Oryzias latipes: one gene and its partner. The protein of the gene in region 2 purifies or fractionates together with the protein of the main gene of each other region. This does not show direct contact. Links are inferred from orthologs where the notes say so. Each region holds a gene or a part of one and is shown on either strand. Other genes may lie near its edges.

The links.
Region 1: the proteins of tarbp2 (region 2) and protein argonaute-2 purify together in Homo sapiens (co-immunoprecipitation; 10 studies listed by BioGRID and IntAct, with this or other methods). This does not show direct contact. The link is inferred for Oryzias latipes from reciprocal best matches to the Homo sapiens genes TARBP2 and AGO2.

What each region holds. Positions count from the first base shown.
Region 1 is NC_019869.2:10,705,549-10,709,368, reverse strand, and holds part of protein argonaute-2, read right to left. Parts: intron 3,643-3,820; coding exon 3,462-3,642; intron 3,372-3,461; coding exon 3,251-3,371; intron 3,168-3,250; coding exon 2,986-3,167; intron 2,263-2,985; coding exon 2,126-2,262; intron 2,030-2,125; coding exon 1,895-2,029; intron 1,724-1,894; coding exon 1,636-1,723; intron 1,422-1,635; coding exon 1,274-1,421; intron 1,188-1,273; coding exon 1,068-1,187; intron 544-1,067; coding exon 421-543; intron 333-420; coding exon 199-332; intron 1-198.
Region 2 is NC_019863.2:10,465,072-10,469,106, forward strand, and holds the end of tarbp2 (RISC-loading complex subunit TARBP2), read right to left. Parts: intron 2,983-4,035; coding exon 2,855-2,982; intron 2,703-2,854; coding exon 2,507-2,702; intron 1,725-2,506; coding exon 1,567-1,724; 3' UTR 705-1,566; downstream 1-704. Other genes in the region: protein TESPA1, read left to right, coding at 82-173. UniProt on the Homo sapiens protein: Required for formation of the RNA induced silencing complex (RISC). Component of the RISC loading complex (RLC), also known as the micro-RNA (miRNA) loading complex (miRLC), which is composed of DICER1, AGO2 and TARBP2.

The DNA of each region.
Region 1 (3,820 bases), on a different chromosome or scaffold from region 2:
TAAAACGTATAGCAGTAACTTTTGCTCCATATTGTTCCGCATTCACATCTTCGAGTGTTGGAGCTTAAAGTGCACCACATCATCTCGACCACACATGCTCCAATCGTGTTTATGAGTGGATTTTCATCAAACCAGTTTGGTGGGACACAAACATGACTTTTGAAGAGGATGCAGACACATCGTGAGAATGCGACTCACTTGAGTAGGAGTTCAGTGCACTGTCTCTGTGGGGCAAAGCAGGCGATGGCCCACACTTTGATCTCGATGCCAGTGTGGAACTGCTTGTTCCTCATGTCCCACACCCCCTGAATCGGTGTGGCGATTGCCTTGTTCTGCAAATTTAACAGCAGCATGTTTTTATTTTTCAGTGCTCAAAAAAAATGAAGACCACAACACAGACGTGCAGATCATCAGACGTACCCTGCCGCCGTACAGTATTGAAGGTGCTTGCAGGACGCGGCCGTTCACTTCAGTCATTTCATCTCGAACCATCACTCCAAACTCACGAACGTATGGGTCAGTGTTAAAGTTGGCGCTCCTCATCTAGAGACAAAAGAAAAAGGGATAATAAGTATCTCACTAAATGCCTTTATCAGGTTAACCATGAGCTGCAATTCATTTACAACTTCTATAGATTTATTGAAATGCAATATTTGGAAAAGGACCGATAGAGTAGATATTTTAACCCTCGTCATCTGGACCCCACAAGATAGCACAAGGGTTAAAAGGCAGCGTTCTTAAAGAAGCTGTTACACTTTGACAAATAACTTTTACTTCAGGAACACTCAGATGTATTTGCATCTGACAAACTCATTTGCCATTTGGGTTTTTGGTTAGATTGCATTTTATTTCTGCCAACATTTTGTTTTTCAAACTGTCATGACTGAATTAAATTTCCATCTTGGCATAGTTTCTTCAGACAAAAAATTTGAAAGGCATATGAAACTTTCAATTTTCTCAAGATGATGCTAAAGTGGCTTAATAGCTTCAAACTTTTGTTTTTTTTAGATCTGTTTCAATTTATGATATTTTTCAGGAACACAGATGTTTGTGTTGGTATTTCTCACCAGTTTGCTGATCTCATCCTGGCGGTCTGGTGCTGACCGGGCTGTGGCACGGATCATAGTGGAAGTCTGATTGTCTGTCAGCTTTTTGATGCAGCGCTGCCCTGCCACAATGTTACAAACCTAAACAGAGAATCCATTGTCATGTTTCTTGAAATGTTTCTTGGGTTTCAGAAAGTGAAACAGCAAAGACCAAAGGTAGATCTTACCTCTAGGGGGAGGTAGGTGTGCTTTTGCTCTTGTCCCACCTGTAAACATGGAAGGTGGGGATATCGCAGAATGAGCTTGTATTTGTCTTTAAAATACTGGGCTACTGTGCATTCGATTGTTTGGCCATTCTCCTGTTGCAAGGGGAACCTAGTGAGTAGGAGGAGAAAAACACAGCATTTGTTTTTATTAGCACTAGGAGACTTCTTTGCTGGATTCAAAAGTTCCATCTTATTTCTGTTTTTACAGGTGCAAGTTTTTCTGTTCATCCTGTCCTGTTATTCTCCTACACATGGTGCTCTAAGCACAACAGAGCAGCTTAAATGTCTGGGTTCAAATGATGGAAAAAGTACAGAGAATTTACGTTTGGTGGCTGGCTGGTCTTCTGGTAACGTTGCAAACTCTGTACTTCCTCTTCATCTGTCCACAGTGAGTTATCTCAACCTTGAGGCCTAAAAATGAGAAAAGCATTTAAAAACTGATAAATAATTGAAATGCTGATTATTTAAGTTTGTTTTAATAATGCTTTTTAGTTTATAACAAGAAAATAAGAAACGGATTAACTAATGAATTTAGCAAACATGAACTGAACGTTTTTTGGATTATAACTGAAGCTTTCTTACCTTTAATTTCTTTAGTAAATTTGACTCGTTGAGAGTCTGTTAAAGGCTTCTGTTGTTCTTCAATGCTCTTAAAATCCAAAACTTCACACATGAACTCGATTACAGGCTGAGCTTTGTAGAAAGCTGTGGCTGAAACTGCAAAAAAAAAATAAAGCAACCATACCGATGTAAGACAAACAGAAACAACTTTACTAAGCAGCTTTTGTCAAAGTGATATGATGCAGACTTTACCGTCGATGTTGAGCATCATTTTCCACAGGGAGGGCCTGACCGACTGATGGAAACCAAACCACACTTCTCTGCCACCTCCCAGAGGGTTTGAGCAAGCTTCTGAAGGAGTAAAGAAAGACCGCCCAACAGGGGTATACCTAAAAGACAACAGTCGGTGATAAGACGTCTGGTAAGGAGAGGTTTAAAGTCCCACTCTGATCATCTCCGTTTTCAAACGGTTCTGAACCAAGATGGAAACGGTTTCCTTTCAAAAGGCTTGTTGCATAGAACTGAAGTGCACCATGTGGCGCTCAGTGTGCCGTCACTGCTTCAGCAGCTCTTTGAGCACGGCTCTTTAAATTAGGATTGTGCCGTTTTCAGTTAAAATCAATAAACCTGTATGGTTTTCTAGGACAGTTTCTCCAGAGAAGCAGGAGTTGATTAGAAATGTGCCTCTCTGACGTGACTGGGACTATTGGCGTGGAGCAACCCCGCCTCCATTTTCCCTCCCGGTTGCTGAGAGCTCTCTGTTTTCAGGCTCTCCTGCCACCTGCTCCTCCCCCATTTGAGCTTACTATTATTTATACATTTTCTCAATCATCAGAAAATGTTAAAAACACCAGTTTCATCAGATTGGGTCTTGAACACAAACTCATGGCACATTATTTAAAAAAACTAAATTCAGATTTGATATATTCAGCTGACTTTCCTGTAGTGTGCTTGTGGCATCTTGTTTAATCCTAATCAAGAAGTGATAATCTTAACTAATTCCATGAGGAAACAGGCAGCGGCTGTGCACTGCTTAGGCATCATTTGGCCACATAAGAGAGCTAGACCAAAACAGGAAATGGCGATCCTTCCAACAACAATTAGAGACCTACCTCATAGAAGGCAAATGTCTCATGACCACATCCAAGGCTTGGATAGTCTCAAAGGGAACACTGGGAAGCCGCCCTGACAGAGCTTCGTGCAGAGCTTGCAGGCTAACGCAAGACACCCATTTGATGGCAACTTTAAAACTGCGGTCTTTGCCTTCGCCTGGAATAGTCACCTCCAGCTCCACCTACATGGTTCATACAAAATGCCACTGCTGAGACATTTTAACATTGAGAGGAAATCGTTTCAACTATAATGTAAACAACAAACCTTTTCTCTGCCTATGGGCAAAGCCATGGCAGTGTAGAGGTTCTTTCGCCCGTCGTACACCGGCTTCCGGTCCCCAAAGATCTGAGTTTTAAAGTGCTGGACCATGTGCTCCACAATTTCTCTGCAGACAAATTAGGCGAGTCAAGACAATCCCCATAAAATTACACACAATTCTGATGAGAGTTTAAAAAAAAGCAGACTTTGAACTCACCGATTCACCCTTCTGGGGCATTTTTCAGGTTTGATGTCTATGTCGTAATGGTAAACCTCCAATTTTGGGATTTCCATCTCAAAGAAATTGGCCTGGAGCTTGATTGTCCTGCCCATGGTGCCAAAGTCTGGCCGTGATGGCGGCTTGAACACATATTCTGGCACTGGGGAAGATGGGGGCTCTACAAAAAACAACAACAACAACAACAACAAAAAACGCAACAGTTGAAACAACATTATTACTACACACACAAAGTGAAAATGTGCTTTACGGCCCTGAGGTAAGTTTGCAAGAACCAGTTTGAAAGCAGGAACAAGCAACGGCTTGCATCTGCATGCATGTAAACATTTTGTGACCAT
Region 2 (4,035 bases):
TCTGTGCCAACTGAGGTCAGGCTGCATCTGCTCTTCTACTGTGTTGTGCAGCGCGTAAAAAGGAACTGTGTTTTTGTGTAGGGGAGGTGGTTCGGGGTGACAGTGTGCAGTCGGACAGCAGCGGATTTGCAGATGAAGACCTCAGCCCCTCAGCAGAGAAACTCAGCAGCTGACAGACAACCTTACCTCTGCTTTTCTTTTACTCTGAAGAGTCCATTTAAAAATGTAACAGCTAAGAAAATGACTCCAAACTTTGGATTTACCTTGATCTTCAGGTTACTGAATATATTATATCCAGATGTGAAGTTTTTGTATGCTTTCATAGTTCTTGAACGTTTGGGTGAATACATATAGTTGTGTAGTGCACAATGTGGACTACATAATAGAAAAACTTTTAAAAAGTTGAAACATAATAATGCCTAGGAAATATTTCATTAAAAAACAGCCACAGATGCACTTTGAAAATAAAATTTCATGTTTTTTCCTTCTAAGTTTTTGTAACTATATTAGGATTTCTCAAATGTGTCAGTTGTCACTTTTGTGTTGAAGTAAAACAGCTGTGACTTTGCTGGTATAACCGCATAATATAAACCTTATAAGCTGCATTAAATAATAAATCCCACTTTTTCATTTTAGAGCCTTTATCAACAAACGTGCAAACTGTATGGAACGTTCCAGAATCAAAGAACAAAAAAGACAATCAGTAAAATGAAGTTTCTTTTATTTAAAAGAACCTAATCCACAAGGACAGAGAACACAAGGAGTCTACGCTACACATTCAACACACGCACGGTAATAGTCTTGAGGTATAAATATTTTCACATTAGAACATGTGGTCGCTTTATATGGCGAGTCTGTGATGTGGAAGTCGATGCGTTAAATAACTAGAATAGAGTGAGGCTTGGTCACACCTCACTGTCAGTCAGAAAGGAACATTTGTTTAAAACGGAACCAGATTAGCGAACGGCCTATAACAGAGTTGGTCAGATACTTATGACACCGTGACAACAACTCAAAGAGTTTCCAAAAATACACACCTAATTTGCTTAAAGATAAAAGATAGCATGGCTAAACATTAAAATGTGGCAGTGTTGAACTGTTGGGTTTAAATAGTTTATCAGGACTTGGGTAGGCTCCTTCACTAACATCTGAAATAATTCACGTATTGAGCAGTTTGTTACTTTTTACATTTGGAAGAATATAAACTTTTTTTTTATACTTCCTCCCTGTAAACCAGGATTCTTAATGAAGAATCTCCATTTATAGTTTTACCTGAATACTTTCTAAAATAGTCTGTATTTAATAAAACACAGTGGGTGAAAGGGAAGCTAAAGAACTGGTGTCATCAACGAAGAAGATGAGCGTGAGATTATTTTAGGCAGATAAATCTTCAGTGGCACGTGTCAGACGTAGAATAAAATAAACTAAAAACTGGGTTCAGAGATTGACGTGTAGGAAAAAAGTCTCAATTTGGGATTTATTCATTTGACCCTTTACAAAATAATAATATTATTAATGATAACTTGGCGAGTTTTTGAATCTGTCAGGAGGAAGGCAACAGTTTCCTTATTTCCCTCCTGCCATGATTTTGAGGTACTGAAGTGCGTTGTGAGCTGCGTTGGCCCGAGCGGCGTCGGTGTTCGTAGCAAAGCCGTGGCACACCGTGATTGGCTGAGTGGACAGCTCGACCAGACACTGACACAGGCCGCTGAGGCTGCGCTCCTCTGAAACGAGACGGGACAGAATGTGAAGCAAACACACTCTTCATACTTTTTTCTTTTCACGGAAGACCACATTTTGCATGAATTTATCTGCAATAAATTTCTATCCAACGGCAATAAAATACTACCGGTAGGTAAGTGACCCCCAGTATCAGGTTATGAAACCTACACTTGAGCAATTTCACAACAGTGTGGTTGTTAAGGTGACAAACAAACAAACCCCAAATGTGAAGTTTTGGAAGGAAAAAAAAACCCAAAGTGGTGCAGGTGGACATAATCTGTGTAATCAATCAAACTGCCTTACATTTCATATAAATATGAACAAGAGTCATCAACAAATATGTTTAAGCAAATGCAGCTTTTCCTCTAAAACCCATTGGAATGATGCATTTATCTCCTATGTTCTCTCAGCCAAATAAGGTTTTGAGAGTTCATATTGTCAGTTTTTGATGTAAATAAGCTTCCCTTCATTCTAGATAAGGTTGCATTCTGGCCACCTGTCAAGGCCTGGAGGAACGTCAAATATAGAATAAAGCGGATAGCAAAATGAGGTTGACTTCAACGAAATGATCAATCGAGTTTTACATTTTCCCAGGGGGGGACCCTCTACAAACAAGACGTCCCAACAGTGATGTTTATTGCTTTCAATAAGATGCGGAACCTCTTCCACGCAAGCAAGATGTTTACAATTCTTGCTTTCTTTTCTGCTTGACAAGCACATTCCTTCAATGTGCGCACATGATGTGGCGCGGTGCAGTGGCGACTCCAACTGCATGTGGGCTCACCTAGGTCTAGGTAACTGACATCAAAGCGCTGCTCTGCAGACAGGTCACTCAGCAGAGCGCAGGAGTTGGAGTCAGAGGGCATGCCCAGAGGGTGGCTGCGAAGCTGGAGGATCTTCTCTCCAGCCGAGTTCCGCAGAGAGTCCCACGTGCAGCTGAAGCCTTTCGCTTTGCCCGACTCCACTCTACCGCCCATGTGCTGTGGAGAAAAATCCACAGGCTAGTCGTTTGTGCCATCAAGGATTATGAAAGAGACAATTTTGTTGTGTGCATTTGTGTTTTAAGTGTTTGTTTGGGGACATTTAACCAAAGCATTCCCAAGGATCCTCCTCAACGCAGTCGGCCCCTCACCATGTTAAACGTGTCCTCTTCCGTGTCGGCGTCATTGGTGCTTCGGAGGTCTACTGGCACGTCGTGTATTCGTGACAACATCTTAGCAGCTGCATTCCTCTTGGCTAATTTCTTAGAAGTACCACTTCCTGGAGAAATAACAACAACAGAGTATTAATAAGAGACAAAAAAGCAACCTGATATGTGCTCCGATTTAACTAATTGAATCTAGCATTTGCTAAAAGGTTTCTGCCACTGGAGGCCAGAAAATTACACTGAAAAAAGGAAGAGGGTTATTAGTTTTCCAGTATCAAGTTCTTAGTGACAACATCCATCTTCAAATCTACAGAGTGATCCATCTTTTTTATGTAAAGAGTTGAGTGCACAGCCTGACTTTAAAGGATAATGTAGTCTTTTATCCAAGGCTTACTATTTTTTCACTCCAAGCTCAGAACAAATTTCCTTTTTTCAACAATCAAGACAGACGTACTTTCTTTGTTTCTGTCTGCTTGTTCAGCTGCTTTACACTGGAACATCACGCTGGAACTGTACGCTGTGACTTTACACTGTACACTGTGACAGAAGACAAGCCACCTTGCAGAAAGGTTCGGAACAATGACAGCCAGGGAACTGCCTACAGATGCAATTTCTGCGGCAAAGAATGCCTCTCCCAGATTGGCCTTTTCATCCGCCGCCAACGTTGTCTCAGACGACCAGACAAGACAAGAGTTAGAATACATCATCCATGGTCAACGCTGACCGACAGAGGCCTACGGCACGCTGGGACTGTACGCTGCAGATTCACGCAATGTAAAGTCACAGCATTAACTTTACACTGTTTTCCAATTAAAGTTTAGGCACAAGATGCCAACTAAAGTAGAGCAATTTTACTTTATCTAGAATATTTTGAAATATTTCAGGATGTTTAGATGATGAGAGAAGAAGTCAATATGAATGGAAAAACTCTTAAAACAAAAAAAGCCAGAGCTTGCACTTCAAAATAAAAATTGGTCTGCTAAAAAAATAAAAGAAATAAGGAATCAATAATGTTATGTATAGATAAAGGGATCAACAGGATCAGTACCTCATTGACTGAACCAAAGAATAAAACTGAATAACAAGAAAACCCACCAAACTACTTTAGACGAGAACTTTTTGAGGTTAACTTATCGACATGATCTGCAAAAACCTGCATTACAGAA